Linked DNA regions of Diceros bicornis minor. The protein of the gene in region 1 interacts with the protein of each later gene in a pairwise test. Links are inferred from orthologs where the notes say so. Each region holds a gene or a part of one and is shown on either strand. Other genes may lie near its edges.

Region 1 (7,832 bases):
GCCTTCCTCCTCTGACCTACTTTCCCATCTGTCAGCAGGGGTTCCTGACCTCTGCCCTGACCCTCCTCTCATGGGGCTAGGATAAGTGGCAGCCCTATCACCTCTACAGTTTGCCAAGGCTCAGCATCTCCCTCAGAGAGGATGTATCTGTTAAATGGTGATAATAATAATACTTACAACTGTGTGATTAAGGCCCTACACTGTGGAGGCAGATTCCTGATGTTGAATCAAGTTCTGCCACTTACTAGCTGTGTGACCTTGGGTAAGTTACTTAAGTTTTCTGTGCTCTAGTCGCCTCATCTATAAACTGGAGATATTACACCTATTTCACAGGGCTGTTAAAAGGATTGAATGAGTAAAGATTTGAAAAGCATTTAGATCAGTGCCTGCACACTGTAAGCACATAGAAAGAGTTTGTTAAGTAAGTGAGATATAGATATATACATGCTCCTCAGCTATTCCTCTGTGACAAGACAGCCCTACCAGCTCTCTTGCTCATTAATCTTTCTGGGGATAAAAACAAAATCAACCTCCTCCACTTCTTTTTAGCATTGTTCTCAACCCTGTTAAATTGGCTCTAATTTTTTGGTTTCCTCTAATATTTTGCAAAGGATGGTTCAAGTACCACTGAGGTATGCAAGATGGCTTCGCGTGTACCTGAATGAACGTTTAATTCAATAGTTAAGTATTTATTTTTCACATATTTTAGAAAGAAATATAGATAAAAAATCGGACCTGTGATTTCATATTATTGATTGGGTCAAGCTAAGAAAGAGTGAGTGGACTGACAGTGGATTTAAAGAACAATATTAAGTCAGCAGTGAGTGGATGTAATGGGGTCCCTCCTATGACTGCAGTTAGGCTTGGCTTGACAGCAGCCTGGGGAGAGTGGGAGGCAGCCCAGAGAGGTCTAGGCTCAGGAGGTGGGGGTAGGCCCAGTGGGCTCAGGGATGAGTGGGACTCAGGGATGAGAGGCGGTTGGAGACACAGACTTATCCTAGTCCCTCAAGGCATCTGGCCCCAGGGTGGCCCCCTACTACAGTAGACTCTAGCTGATTTCCCCCTATCTCATACCCTGAGGCAGTATCTTGGTCTCTTCTGACTCTATTCTCTTACCAGGCCAAGGCATCTGCCCCCTCACTCCCACCCCCAGCAGATCGATCCCTCTTCAGAATCTTCCAATCAGGGGTGTCCTTCTCTGGACTGAAGCGAGATAATCATTACTACACCAGGAGTACCCCACCCCAGGGCAGGAACAACAACAACAGAAACAGGAGTTAGAAGCTGCATAGCACTTCCCACTATATAAAGCACTTATGATCTCATGGGCTCATGGAACTCTGAGTTCCAGGGGGAAAGGTGACAGCAAAACATGCCAGGCAGAAGAGAGAGAAGGTGCTTGCTTTGCTTCCCAGGGCAGGAGGGCCGGGGTCCTGGGAGAGAAGCCACACTGATGAACACTGGGGAGAAGAATGTCCCCCCTCACTCAGCTCTGGGGCCTCAGCTCCCAAGAGCAGTACAGGCCTCAAGCTAGGGCTGGAGCAGCAGCTTTTAGGCCTGGAGGGCCCAGGAGGGCCTTCCCCACAGGCCTCCAGGCCCAGTGCCCAGTTAGTGTGGGGCAGACTAGTGTGGGGGCCTCCCCCTCCCCCAGTCTCCTGGGAGTTGGGGGGGTGGTGAGGGGATCGGCCAGGCTCCCCCTCCTAGGCCAGCTGCTACAGAACCTTCCGGCTCCAACATTCCATCCCCTCTTAAAGGGGAAGTCGCTGCTTCCAAACTCCGCCTGTCCAAAGCCCTGCAGCTGGGTGGAGAAGACCCCGCCAGGGAGGGGAAGATGAAGAACACTAAGAGACTCTTCCTGGCCCTCCCATCCAGGCTCTGAGGCCCTTTCCAAGGTCTCCTCCTCGGCCACCATCTGGAGGAAAAAGGCCCCAATTCGGAGGGAAAATCAGCACCTGGGCTAGTGAGGACTCCTCCCAGGGGCCGGCGCTCTGCTCCCTTGATAACATCCTGAACACCCCAAGAGAGAGAGGGGAGACAGCTAAATAAACATCAGGTCTGCAGGCCTTAGCTTACAGCCTGGCGCCTAAGCACCCTCCATCTCACCCCCTCCTCCAGTTCAAAGTCCTGCACCATAGCCCTTAGATGCATGATACTCCAAATATGGCTCTGAGTTGTGGAGCCGAAAAGATGGAGCAGGCGAAGGCCGAGTGCCCAACACCCCAAGTCTATGCTACAAAGGTGGCTCCCTTGGCAGGAGGAGGGTTGGGGATTCTGGCTCTGGAACTGGGTGGAGGGGGGTGTGTGTCTGTCTATGTGGGCCGCTGGTCTCTGAGGAGGTGAGGGGACTTGACTGGGCTGAAATTCTGATTGCTTTGGGGGAGTTGAACGTCACCCTAAACTAGGGAGACCAAGGTCCCCCGAAAGAGGGGAAACGAGAGTCCCTCGAGGGGCTGAACTCCAGCCTCTGAAAAAGCCAAGGGGGCCCAAATAGCCGGGTCGCCCCTTAGAATCCAGAGCAGGGCTAGGAGCCAGTGTAGCAAAGGGGAGTCCAAACTGGCCAAGTGGCTCCCAGAAGCCGGAGGGGCTGGGGTCCCCCAGAGGCGAGGCGGGGGCCATCCTCACCCGAAATCGTCGTCCATAGACTTGAAGAAGAACTTATAGCTGGGTCGCTGCAGAACGCCCTTAAAGTCCGCCAAGGTGACGCGCTCGGCGGGCAGGGGCAGCTTCACCAGGTACGGCGTCTCCTGCCCGTCCAGGTGGTAGATGATCTTGGTCTCGCCCATGGCTCCGGCCTCGGGCCCGGCGGCCCGCGCGCGGCCTGCTTGGGCGGCCGGGCCGGGCCTCTCGGGCGGCGGCGGCGCTCGGCGCGACCCAGCGGCTCAGCCCAGTCGGCGGCCGGCCGCGGCGCCAGCTCCCTTGTTCTTCAGCCGCTCCCGGGTCCCAGCGCCGCCTGCCGCCGCCGCGGCCGCCGCTTCCGCTCCCCACTCTTCGGCTCGGCTGGCGACGGCGACTCTTCCGGTGGCCGCGGCCCTCTCGGCTCTGGGCTGCAGCCGGGCCCGCTCCCCTCCCCTGGCCCCGGCGCGGCCCCGCCCCGGCGCGGCCCCGCCCCCGCCGCCGCCAGCCGCGCTGGCCTCGCGGCAGATGTCCTGGCCCCGGGCCTGGCCCCGCGGACACCCCGCCCACCGGCCGGGCGGCGCGCTCCTGCTCCTGCGCTCCGGTCCCAGGCGCGCGGCGAGCGTCGCGACGGTCACCTAGGCCCCCAGAGATGGAAGGGCAGATCTCACTAGGATGGCCGCCTTCCTGGACTCTTCAAGGACCTTGCTCTGGACCCGAGGGGGATCTTGGCTGCTCCTCTGCAGCTGGCAGGGGTGAAATGCAGGGGTCCCTTTGGTTCCCAGAGATGGGAGGGGGAGCGCGGTTCTGATCATGTATAGCTGGAAGAAAGTGACCTCGACATGGCCATTTAGGGTCTGTTGAGAAGCACAACTGCTCTCACTGAGTCTCCAAACTGAGCTCCTTGAGGACAGAACAGGATCGAGTTCTAATTCCTTCTTAAAACCTCAGTACCTAGGTGCAAAGTAGTGGTTTAATAAGTGGATTGAATCCAGAATGGGTACAATAATGAAAATGCTCTCAAACGGAGAACTAGGTATAAGCAGTTCCTAATAGACCTCCTCACTCCTTAGCTTTTAATTCATTTAATAAATATTGAGTGCCTACTATGTGCAAGGCAAACTGTATAAGATACAGCAAAAACAAGACAGGCTGCCCTCAGGACCTTGGCTCATCTGCAAGGAGGCACAAGCTTGTATTTAAATAACTTTAGAGTGACAAATGCTATGAAAAAGATAAAATGGAGTGATGTGATAATAACCGGAAAGAGGATTATGGGTGGTCAGAGAAGGCCTCTTCCATTTGAGCTAAGACCTAGAATTAATGAAGAAGCAGCTATAAGAAGGTCTGGTCTGCAGCAGGCAGACCAGAGTCTGCATTCCAGGCAGAGGGCACAGCCAAATTCAAAGGCTTAAGGCAGGAATAAACTCGCCAAATTTGAGGAACAAGAAGCAGGCCATTGTGACTATAGGGATAGTGGTAGATGAGGCTGAAAAGGTAGATTGGAACCAGATCACAAAGGTCCTTTTAGGCCACAGTAACAAGTGTGGGCTCCTCCCACTCCATTTTGTACACTGTGGCCAAATTAGCATTTCAAGAGTAAGTACAGTCATGTGCAGCATAATGAGGTTTTGGTCAACAATGGACCGAATATACATAAGATTAGTACCATATAGCCTAGGTGTGTAGTGCGCTATACCATCTAGGTTTGCGTAAGTACATGCTATGATGTTCACTATGAAATCGCCTAACAACGCATTTCTCAGAATGTGTCCCTGTCATTAAGCGACGCATGACTGTACCTCTTTCAGACACTTCTTTTGCTCAGAACTCTCCACATTCCCCAATGCCTTCCAAATATTCTTAGCATGATATTCAAAGCCTTCCATAATCTAACTTTTTCCTACCTTTAAAGCCTTTTGTTTCAGTATGTCCTGGCTAAATTTTTTACTTCAGCAAATCAACCTATTTGCTAGCCCCTGCACACACCTTGTATATTTTCATTTCATACCCTTCTCTTTACTTTAAATTTTATTAAAGTAATATGTGTGGCCGGCCCCCATTTCCTTTTATTTTTAAATGATTTCATCTCTTTGCAAGATTTTGTTAACATTATTTCCAACCTTTCTCCTATCCAATTGGATAGGTAAAATATTCCCGATTGAAAATTCAAGTACATAAGGATGGATGTACAGTCTCTTTCCTATTTGGTTCTCTAGTCCTCCAGCTCTCAAAAGGAAATAATTCATTTACTTATTTTTAATTTCTAAGAACTCTTTTGTTCTCCAATTGTTCCTTCACAGACACAATATCTTTCCTCTTTGAGTTTTGAGAATACTAATTATAGCTTTCCCCTCCTGAAGTTTTCAAAAAGCTCCCTACTTTGTCACTGTTTCCTTCGTTTCAATTTTCTGTGTTTTGGTCTCTGCCTTTCACGCTGGAAGTTTCCTCAAATGTTTGATGGCCCTAAGCAGTCTATTCACGTTTAAGAGTGAGATACTAAAAAGCTGATTGGGAGCTCTGTCCATGCATACGGCTTATTAACTAACAGGCTTCACTGTAGGGTGATCCAGTGGGGGAAAGATGACTTCTCCCCGAATAAATAAAAAATGTTAAGTATTTGCAGGTCCTTTTTCTGCAGTTGTTCAGTTTGTTTTCGCCTGGGAGTATAAGTCGGTGTATGCTGATATTCAGAGCCTTACCACTCATATACTATCACTTAATCCCTCATTTTCAATCTAGCCCCTCACCCGCATCTCTACCATGCCTGCTGTTGAGTCCAGAGGCTCTAATAGTTTACGTATTCCCTGAGGTTCTGAAATTTCATGGGGCTATTTCATTCATTATGCTGGGTGCTCATGGGCTCTGTCAGTCTGGAAACTCATGACCTATGGGTTTAGGAAACCTTTGTAAATATTTCTTTGATAATTTCCTCCCCATCGTTTCTCCAAAGACTCAATCTTCCATTTCTTGCGGGGGAGAAGTTGCGGTAATCACCTGGCTGGATCAGATGAGGGGGACCTGGGGGGCTTTTTCTTAAACAGATCTTTTTCGAATTTCCTTCCACCTCACCTCTAGCTCTCAGCCCCAATCCTTACCTCCTCTGCTGAGCCTTTTCTGGGTCCAGAAGGGCACACTGGTTTGCTTCTTGTTAATAACCACCTCAGCAGGTAAAACCCATCTCATTCTGCTCTGCCAGGTCAACTTTCACTCTTCCATTTATTTTTCATTTTCCAAAATGTTGATGTCTCTCATTATTGTCATCACCTCCTGTTTTCCTTATCATTGAATCATGTGCCTTTTTTGAAGTCCTTTACTGGCATTTGAATGGGTTTTGGAGGGAGTAAAAAGCCCATGTCTTTAATTTGCACATTTAAGTAGAAATCCTTGGCTTTGCTTTTGCCATTCTACCTTTTCTGTTTTTTAGGCCACTCAAGCATCACAATCCTGTAAGCCTTCCCTAATCACCCCAACTGGAAGGACCCTCTTCCTCCTAAAAAGTTCTATAGGCCACTTCTGATCTCTGCCACCCATTAGGTACAAATCAGAGGTGCCCTATAACTATTTGTATTTAACTGCCCCTATTAGGTCCATGCCATAAACAGAAACTGAGATTTATTGAATAAGAAAAGTAAATTAAGTCAAACCCCGGCCAGCCTATCTTTTCTTCTTTAGAAATACTCAGTAATGCCCCTTCAAACCCCTGAGTACAGTTCAGTATCCTCTTCCTCAGCTTATTCCTTTCCACCCAAATGAAATGAAGAAAGGCAACCATTTTATCTATGATGTCCAGGAGGGCTACTTGTTACCAGTAACATTTGCCACAGTTTAAGTGTCAACAGAGTAAGGGTTATAGGAAGGCAACCAAGAGCTCAAAAAGATGAGCTAGAAGGGCATGTCTCATGGTTGAGGTTAGAGGAGACAATACAGCAAACTGACAAATTCCAGCTTTAGAGTCCAATAACAAATCCTGGCTCTATCAATTACCAGCTATGGGACCTCTTTGAACTTCAGGCTCCTCATCTGAAAATGGGGATAAGACCTACCTCACAGGGCTGATGTGAAGGTTAACTAAAATAACACATGAAAAATATTTAGCAAAAAAAAAAAGCAAAATGCCTATCATACAGTAATCAGTCTCTCAATATCAGAGGAAAGCCCATTTCACAGGATCTTCCTCTGTCTTAGGATATCCATTGCTGGCTTGGGGTTATATTTGCCTGTGAGGGCCATTTCCCTTTACCTGGACACTGAATAAGCTGAAGCAGAAAGAATTCTGGATTATGAGGCTCAAGTGCTGGATTATGAGGCTCAAGTCCTTAGCCTTACCCCTCAGGAGTCATGAGACCTTGAGCAAATTTCCTTTTCTTTAAGATGAAAAGTAGCTCAGCTTCCCTGACAGCAGTACTGGATCAACTGGACAAAGTACATGAGGGACTGGTAGGTGGTTAATGGACTGACTTACACTTGGCATCATCACCCTCTGGCAGAAAAGTGTTTGGACTAGGACTCCCTATGGAAAAAGGCTCAGGCACACCACCTCAGGATCACAAGTTGGTCCATAGAGGCTAGAAAAGAATCTAGGCCCTCCACTATCCATAAGCCATGGCAATGGTCAATTAGCGAGGCACCACAGTACCACCTAGTGGCCATAATAGCCCTCTTCGCCCTCTCCCCCAGGTGTTAAGGAAAAGCTGACATGTCAGAGGTTTAGAACTCTTTGGTCGCCTACTTCATCGGCTGATCAGTCAGAGCTGGAAGGAAACCAAATACACTCCTCTCTCTCTTTTTTAATATTAACAAATACAAGCAGCAGAGAGGGCCAGCTGCTCTCTGCTGTTCCCTGAGGGAACGCCAGAACACAAAGCTGTTCCTCTGGCCTTCCTCTAACTACAGGGCCTGTTTCGCTCCTCCTTAGGCAGAGCTTTGTTCCAGCCCAGCTTCCCTCATCCCAATTCCCCAGTGGGGATGGGAGGCACGTGGTTGCTGGCGGTGGGAAGAATACTGTAATTCCAGCCTCTGCTCCTTTAAGTCTCAGCTCAGACGGTGGTCACTCAACCTTCTGCAACTAGCCTCTTGCTTGCCCTGGCCCAGAAGCCAGGAGGGCAATCAACCACACCCACGGGAGCAGGCAGTGTGACTTCAGTCATCTTCAGATGACTCCTCTTCTGCCTCTTTTAGCCACTGGATGAACCTCTGCAGCTGTAAGAAAGCAGAGT
Region 2 (7,337 bases), on another chromosome or scaffold:
CTCCGAAAGAGAGGAAGGACTGTGTTCTAGGACACACAGCAAAAAACAGCCTGGGCAGCTGACAGAGCCCAGGAGATGCGTTCTGAGGTAGCCTGTCTCCTGCTAGAGCAGAAGCAAGGAGGACAGAAGTAGTAGGGATTTTTTTTTTAATTGACAGGGAGCGGTCTGCATTGCCATGGCAACTGTGAGGGGTGGCCTTCCCGCTTGGAAGGGAAATGCTAGTCCATTAATCATCAAACTGGGGCACAAAAGGGAGGTTTGGGGGAAAGGGGATGGATGCAGAATTTATTTTTTCACCATCTAGACTCAAACCAGTCACCAGTCCTCTCTCCCATTTCCCTCATGGTCCAGGGCTGATGGTAAACAAAAACGCAAGTTCCGAGAAAGCCGGGATCATAGCTTTCCTTTCTGACGGGTCCAGTGTGGGGCTGATCGTGCCTCCCATGTCAGCGATGCCCCTATAAACACCTCTTCCAACACTAGTCCCAAAAGTCCCGTCCACAGGCAAGACCCAGCAATCCTTTTCTTTTCTGTTCTCAGAACCGTGTTTTCTCCCTCATTTACACCCAGGATTGAGAAGAGATAAAACATATGGATTCATTTAACATGGACAACAAGGAAAATTGCATAAGAGCAGCAAAGCCGGGTGAAGAGAATGGCCTGCTAGGGTAGGAGCAAAACAGGATTACAGCCCTTTTCCAATTCATGTCTATAGGGTATCATGTGAGCAATCCACAGGACAGACTCTTCACCAGCCAGAATATCACAAACAACACTAAATTTCATTTGTCCCCCATGCTAAAGCACCCGAAACATGCTCTATCTATATGCCATTGACAGAAAAGGTTGGAAACCACCAAGGACTCCATACTGAGCATTTCTGGGGGAAGCAGAAGGGAATGTTTCCCCTCTGTTCCCACCCAACCAAGCAGCCAACTGCATTTATTCATTCAACAAAAACAATGTGCACTGCACTATACCAGAAATCCTGGAATAGTCTTTCTCTCACACACACACAGACACACACACACACAAAGCTTTAACACTCATACTGTCCCTGTACTTAAGAAACTTCCAACCTACAAAACCACTCAAAAACACACCATGTTATAAATTCTAGTGTCACAGTCGCAGAGGCAAGCATTATTGGCCTGGTGTCCTAAGTGACAGTGAGATGAAGGATGAGGAGGTTCAGGCGGGAGGAGAGGAAGGCAAGGGGCTCCTCATTGGGGACAACTGGGGAAAGCAGCAGAAGCAAAGACGCAGGGAGACAAATGTGCATGGCACAGCTAAGGGAGAGCCTCAGGGGACACTGTCTAGGGTCAGACTGCAGGAAAAGGGGAGCCACTGCAAGTCTGTGGATAGGGGAGTGACACCGGGGGAGGAGTGCTTTAGGAAGAATGATCTAGCAGCTGTGTACAGACTGGATCAGAAGGACCAGAGGAAGCCGGAGGGAAAGAAAGGCCATGACAACAACACAGGGCTGACATGGGGACAGCAGAGCAACAGAAAGAAAGAAAAGGAGGGAGACATAAAAAAGAAAGAAGCTCTTCACTGGCTAAAGTCTCCAGAGCAAATCCTCCCAGACATCTCTTTGACTGACTTGAGTCTCCTGCCCGGTAAGAGCTTGTCAAAGAGAAAAATGTTTTGGCAATTCCCCTTCATATATTCCAGCGGCCAGACCAGGTCACCCCCTTCTGATTGCCACCAAAAGAAATCACGTACTGTGTAGCCCCAGAGAAGGCATGAAGGCCTTGAGATTCTTCACCATTCTCTGGATCTTAGACATACAATTAAATTCTCTCAGAACAAACTTCAGTCTCCTGCAAGAGGTAATACCTCCCTTTCCCACAAGGCTCAACTCCACCCAGCCTAGGGTCTAGACCCTCCTGGGGAGGGGATAGAGGGTGGCCATGAATTAACTCCGTGTCTGTACTAAGCAAGGCTGATAGGCAGCTTTCCCAGGGCAGGGTTAGAGCCAACCACAGCTGGGAGCACCTAGTAACCAACACCTATGTGGGGTGGGATTCGAACTCAGATTCTAGCAAAAGACCACATTCTGAACAGCCTGAGCCTCCCTGTCTTTGTGGTCTCCCAACTTTTCCATTAAGTATGAGGTCACATTAAGGGGCACGGTACCTCTAAGTGGGTTTTTACAAATGGGAAAACAGCAACCAGTTTAGAGCTGGTCACTGGTGGGGTTAGAGGCACTCATAGCTTAAGCCAGTGCTTTCCAAGTGCCCTCCAGCAGGCCAAGGACAGTGGCGTCCCTCCAGGACATGTGGTGCCTCTAGGGCACTTTTCTCCTTTTTTCAGAAAACACAGAGGTGGAGAGACTGGGGAGGCAAGTCTCAAGCCGCACAAAGGAAAAAGGACTGGAAACCTTTTTTATTTAGTCATTAAATGCCTGCCTGCATTTATAAACTCAGCTTCTCATTTCCCTATGTGGGTATCTCCTTTGGCTAAAGAAAAGTGCTGAAGGCACTTGTGGACGCATTGCCGTAGCACATCTGGGGTTGTCTCCTAGTCCCCAATCCAACTGGTGTCCTGCCCTCTTAACACTGTTGACATGTCGACTAGGAGATGTCCTACGTGGGATTAAACCCCTGCCCGTGGGCAGCCTCTGCTTGCTGAAACCCCTCATTCCTGGCTGACTCCAGAGTGGCTCACTGCACTGTCGTCTCGGTGACTCCAGCAACCCGATCACCACCGGCCAGGCCCAGCGTGTGCACACCCCCACCTCTGCCCCTCTGCCCTGGCCAGGTCGACCCCTCTCTTCCCAGAACCGCGAGGCGATCCGCGGCTGGAGCGGTGAGCCAGTGCCGCAGCTCCTCCCGGCGGGCGCCCCGGCCCCCGCAATCCCCGGGGCAGAGTCCGGTCCTGTCGCCCGCCCCTCGGGGTGGGTGGCTCGGACCCGCTCCCCTCCCCGACGCCACCACCTGCGCCCGCTCCGGCGCCGCCTTTGTCCGGCGCTTCACCGCCGAGCGGGCCCCTCGGGCCCGACCTGACCCGGCACCCCGCCCCGGAGGAGAGGCGGCGAGGCGGGCTGGGCAGGACCAGGCCGGGCCGCGAGCACAGGGTCCCGCTGTCACTTGGAGGCGGTCTGACAACTTCGATCCCCCCGCCCCACCTCGGACTCGCTCGCCGCTCCGCACGGTCCCCGCCGGGCCTCCCGCGGCCCACACTCGCTACTCGAACCGGTTCCCTTCCGTCTTCGGCGCCTCCCTTCCTCCCCGCCCGATCAGGTCCGGTCTACACTACCCCCCGCCCCGGCGCGGTCCCCATCCTCTGCCCCCCATCCAGTAATAACCGGCCAGCTCCCAGCGCGGGAGGGCGCCCCCCACCCTGAGCGGGCGATCCCGCGGCGCCGCCCCCGGCCGCGGCCTCTTGCCTCGGGGACCGCGAAGGGGGAGGGGGCGCAACGGGGGGGGCCGGGGCCTCGCCGCCCGCGCACTCGGAGGCGAGCCGGCTCCGCCGCGGCGAGGAAACGACCGGCGTCCTCCCGCCCTCCGCGGCCCGGGACGCCCGCGCCGCCGCCTCCCGGCCGAGCTGCCACCCTGCGGCCGCCACCCACCCCGCCCCCGGCCTGCGAAGCGAGCGGCCCCGGGGGGCTGTCACCTCGAGGCGCGCTGCGCTCCCCGATGGCGGGACCGTGGCGCCGGACCCGGGGGAGGGACGCGCCGCGAGCGGGCGGCCGCACCTGCTTCGCGTCGTCCGTCCGTCCGTCCCTTCCCGGGCTGGCGGGGGCGGCGACGCGGCGCGCTCGGTGGGGCGCGCTGACGGGCGGCCGGTCCTCTCCCCTTCGCTTGTCTGCCTCGCTGGCTTGCTCGCTCCCTCTCGCCTGCTCGCCTCTTCCCCCCTCCTCGACCCCGGCCCCTAGCTCACCGGGACGGCGGCGCGGACGGCGCAGCTCTGGGCGCCCGCAGGCCCCAGCCGGGCTGGAATCCGGCGGCTGGAACCCCCCGGGGGCGCTCAATTCCCGGGCTCCACGCTGCTGCGTCAGCGCCTCCTCCTGGGGGCCGGGGCCGGGCGGGCGGAGCGGGGGCCGCGGCCGGGCGGGGCCGTCGGGGGGGCGGGCGCGCCTGGCCCGGGCGGGCGGACGGCGGGGGCCGGACGGGCGGGGCAGGCAGCCGGACGGGCGGGCGGCGGGGGCCGGGCTCCGGGATCCGCTACGCCGCTCGCGGTTCCCCCACAAACTCCCCGAGAGCGGAGCCTCCACCGCCCTCCTTCCTGCTTCCTCGTCCACAGCCAATCAGCGGCGCGCCCCTCGGCCAGCTCCACCAATCAGCCGCCCCGCCCTGCGCTGGCCTCGCCAGCCAATCCGGCCCTTGGCTCCCCCTCCCGATCTCCGACCAATCAGAATCGTGGGTCGGTCGTCCCAACGCAGGGGGCAGCACGAGGCGGCCGGGGGAGGCGGTGCGGGGAGTGGTGGGGCCTGGGGGGAGGGGTACGGTGCCAAGGGTGGTGGTGGGGGTTGGTTTTCTTTGCCGGCTTCTTGGATTTTTCTCTTCGTCTACCGAGCCTGAGCCGGTATCCCATGGTGACCTGACCCTGGAGCCCCAATCCCCCAGCTGCTACCCCCCCCCTGGAAATCTTATCTCGCCCCCGCCCTGGCCGTCACCCCTCTACATCCCTCTTCTCCCTTCTCTTCCCCACCACCCACTGGAGAAAATTGCAGGCCGAGGAACACTCCACCCTCGCCAGCGGCTGCTGCCCCCAGGGCACAGCTTCGGAAAGACTAGCCGAAAATCAAGCGAGGACAACCCCCCTTTCCTGCAGAAAGGGCCCCAGACTCCAGCGAAAGGGCCCCGACTGCTGAGAAGCCCCTCCCGCCCTTGCCTCATCTTTCCGACTTCCCTGCCTGCCACGTCTCCTTTCCTTTCAAGCAAGGTCGGTCCTGGCTCGGTAACCCCTCACCCGCATCTCTTTTTCCTCTTTCTCCCCTTCACCTACCGCCCCCTACTCCAGCTCCTAATTCACCCTTCCCAGAAGCAGAGTGTGGAACCCTCATCCATTTCCAGCTGACAGCAGAGCCTGGTCTGTGAGTCCTTGACACCCACACACCCTCTTCCACTACCGCGGGGAACATCAGAGCTCTTTGGGGGAGGGGAGAGGGGGCGGGCAGCCTGACAGCCCCGGCTGGACTCCCTCCCTCGCGTCCCCAAGCGAGGATGGGACCAAGCGTGGACACTTACCTGACTTCCCCCTAGTCACCGAATGCTGTGGCTCCGTCTCACACCCACAGACGTGCCTTTCCAAGCCTGAGCACGCTCGCGGGGTCAGCAGGGTGGGTGGGCACAGCAGGCTGAGGTCACACGGAGGTGTGGGAGGTCCCTCTGAGGTGTGGGAAGGGGCTGTGTCTTGGGCACCTTGTGTTGCCAGACCCGGCATAGGGCTTCTCTTCGGTAAGCACTGGCTGTGCACGTAGTAGGTTCTTGAGAAATGCTGAGTCCAGCCCAGAACAAAGCCTCATTCCCAATTCAGGCGGGGGAGGGGTGCTTTGGGAGGTAAAAGGAGCAGCAGCGACGAGGGTAGTGTCAAGTCACCAGAGCGCTGGGAGCAGCCTAGGGAGGGGCTGGGCCGAGCTAAGCCTTGGTGGAGAGAAGCACCCCCAGAGAGAAGCACCCCCGAGTGCTGGGGCTGCCTGGGTACTAGAGGAGAAACCCAGCCTTGGAGTGTGGCTGAGGGGCTCCTGCTGCACCACACACGCTGCCTAGCCCTTCCTAGACCTGAGACTCCAGCACTCAGGAAGGCAGCCTTTAAGACAACAGCGCTGCTAGCCCCCATGGCTGGGAAATAAAACTCTAAAAGACCGTTCCCCATCTGCCACTAGAGCTGTCAAGGGGGCCCAGACAGTCTTAGCTGTGTGGGGGACACATTTAAAGGAGGGGGCCACCCAGTAGGGGAAGTGTATGAATAGAAGCTAAAAGCTAAGACTGTGGCTTAGAAACTTCTCAAAGGACCAAGTTCTCCTAGGACAAGTGCCCCTTACTTCTCCCACCTCCCACCCTTAGGGAAAGCAAAATCCCCAAATCTATACAAGTAGGACACTAAAAGATTTCTCCCCTCCCTGAGCCTCCCAGGACAAAGATTCCTAGCAGTACCCCACCACCACCAGGCCAGCCCTACCTTCCCCCTCACGAAATGCTCTCTCTCCCTGTCCCATTCTGTCACATGGGCTCATGTCCCCCACCCCTCATCAGAGCCTGGTGATAGAGGGTAACAGCAGCAGGCACCACTGGAGCTGAGCCATACCATCCTGGCAGCCTGGAGCCAAGGCAGAAGAGGGGACAGGCTCCTGTCAGCAGCCCAGCCTGTGCTGACCTTGGCTTCATGCCCATGAATGGGCAGGGATTGAGGCCAAAAGGGTCAGAAGAGAAATGTACCTAGTCGCAGGGAAGGAGACCCAAGTGGCAGGAAGCCCGTGCTAGGCCTAGGAAGTGGTTGCAGGGTGAGGCTGGAGGGCTGCACTTTTCCCCAGCATTCAGGAGTGAAGATCTAGTGGCCCTGGGATGGGGTAGGGGGAAGAGCTGTCTTTATTTGGGGCCCTGGTGGGAGGGAAAAAGGCAACACTGACTGGAGAGGAAGCAGAGTGGTCATGAGAGCCCATTCCAAACTACCCAGCCTAGCCAGACTGCCTGGCCTGCCAGGCAGCTGGAGGAATTCTTCCCTCAGAGCCTCCCCGATGTGGGTGGCTATCTCCTTTGCCCCAGGAGGCTCTGAGTGGGTGACCATTAGGAGACACAGGCTGGCTAAAGGCACTTGGTGTTCTTCCTATGCCAGCCCACTGATCTACCTCAGTTCCCCATCTACTTTGTTAAAGCTGGTCAACAAGCCAGCAAAGAAGACGCCAGGGGCTGCATCCCCTGCCTGTCCCCCTAGGGACCCTTCGGCCTCTCCTCTCCTCCTTGACCCCATTTCCAGGGACCCCTTCACCTGGGCCTCCTTCCTTCCCAGTCCAGAGCCCTTCCACACCTGGAAAGGTCTCCATCTCTTCCTCCTTCCTTCAGCTCCTCTAACCTTTCCTGAGTGGTGCCCCCACCCCCCACCCCCTACTCCACTAAGGCAGCTGTGCCAATGCCTGGGGCCCATCACCTTTTCTCACTGCTGCACACCCAGCAGCCCAGAGATCCCCCACTGAAAAGGGTTTGCCCCTTGGTCTGGAGACAGGAATGGATCCATCAGATCTCCTGGATCACCCTCTCCCTGCCTCCAGGCAAGGGGCTCTCCCTACCCAGGCGCCTCCAGACCCATCAGGAAGGGTTAACTGCCTCAGAGCAGGAGAGCAGAGAGAGGGAGATGCAGAGAGGAAAACATCCAGGGCTGAGAGAAAACAC

Evidence for each region.
Region 2: the proteins of DVL3 (region 1) and BAHD1 interact in binary tests that used the Homo sapiens proteins (3 or more experiments, as listed by UniProt). The two-hybrid records come from large-scale screens. The link is inferred for Diceros bicornis minor from reciprocal best matches to the Homo sapiens genes DVL3 and BAHD1.

Annotation. Positions count from the first base shown.
Region 1 is NC_080754.1:39,518,151-39,525,982, forward strand, and holds the start of DVL3 (segment polarity protein dishevelled homolog DVL-3), read right to left. Parts: upstream 3,016-7,832; 5' UTR 2,784-3,015; coding exon 2,623-2,783; intron 1-2,622. Other genes in the region: EIF2B5 (translation initiation factor eIF-2B subunit epsilon), read right to left, coding at 7,756-7,815. UniProt on the Homo sapiens protein: Involved in the signal transduction pathway mediated by multiple Wnt genes.
Region 2 is NC_080744.1:38,306,408-38,313,744, reverse strand, and holds the start of BAHD1 (bromo adjacent homology domain-containing 1 protein), read right to left. Parts: upstream 3,034-7,337; 5' UTR 1-3,033.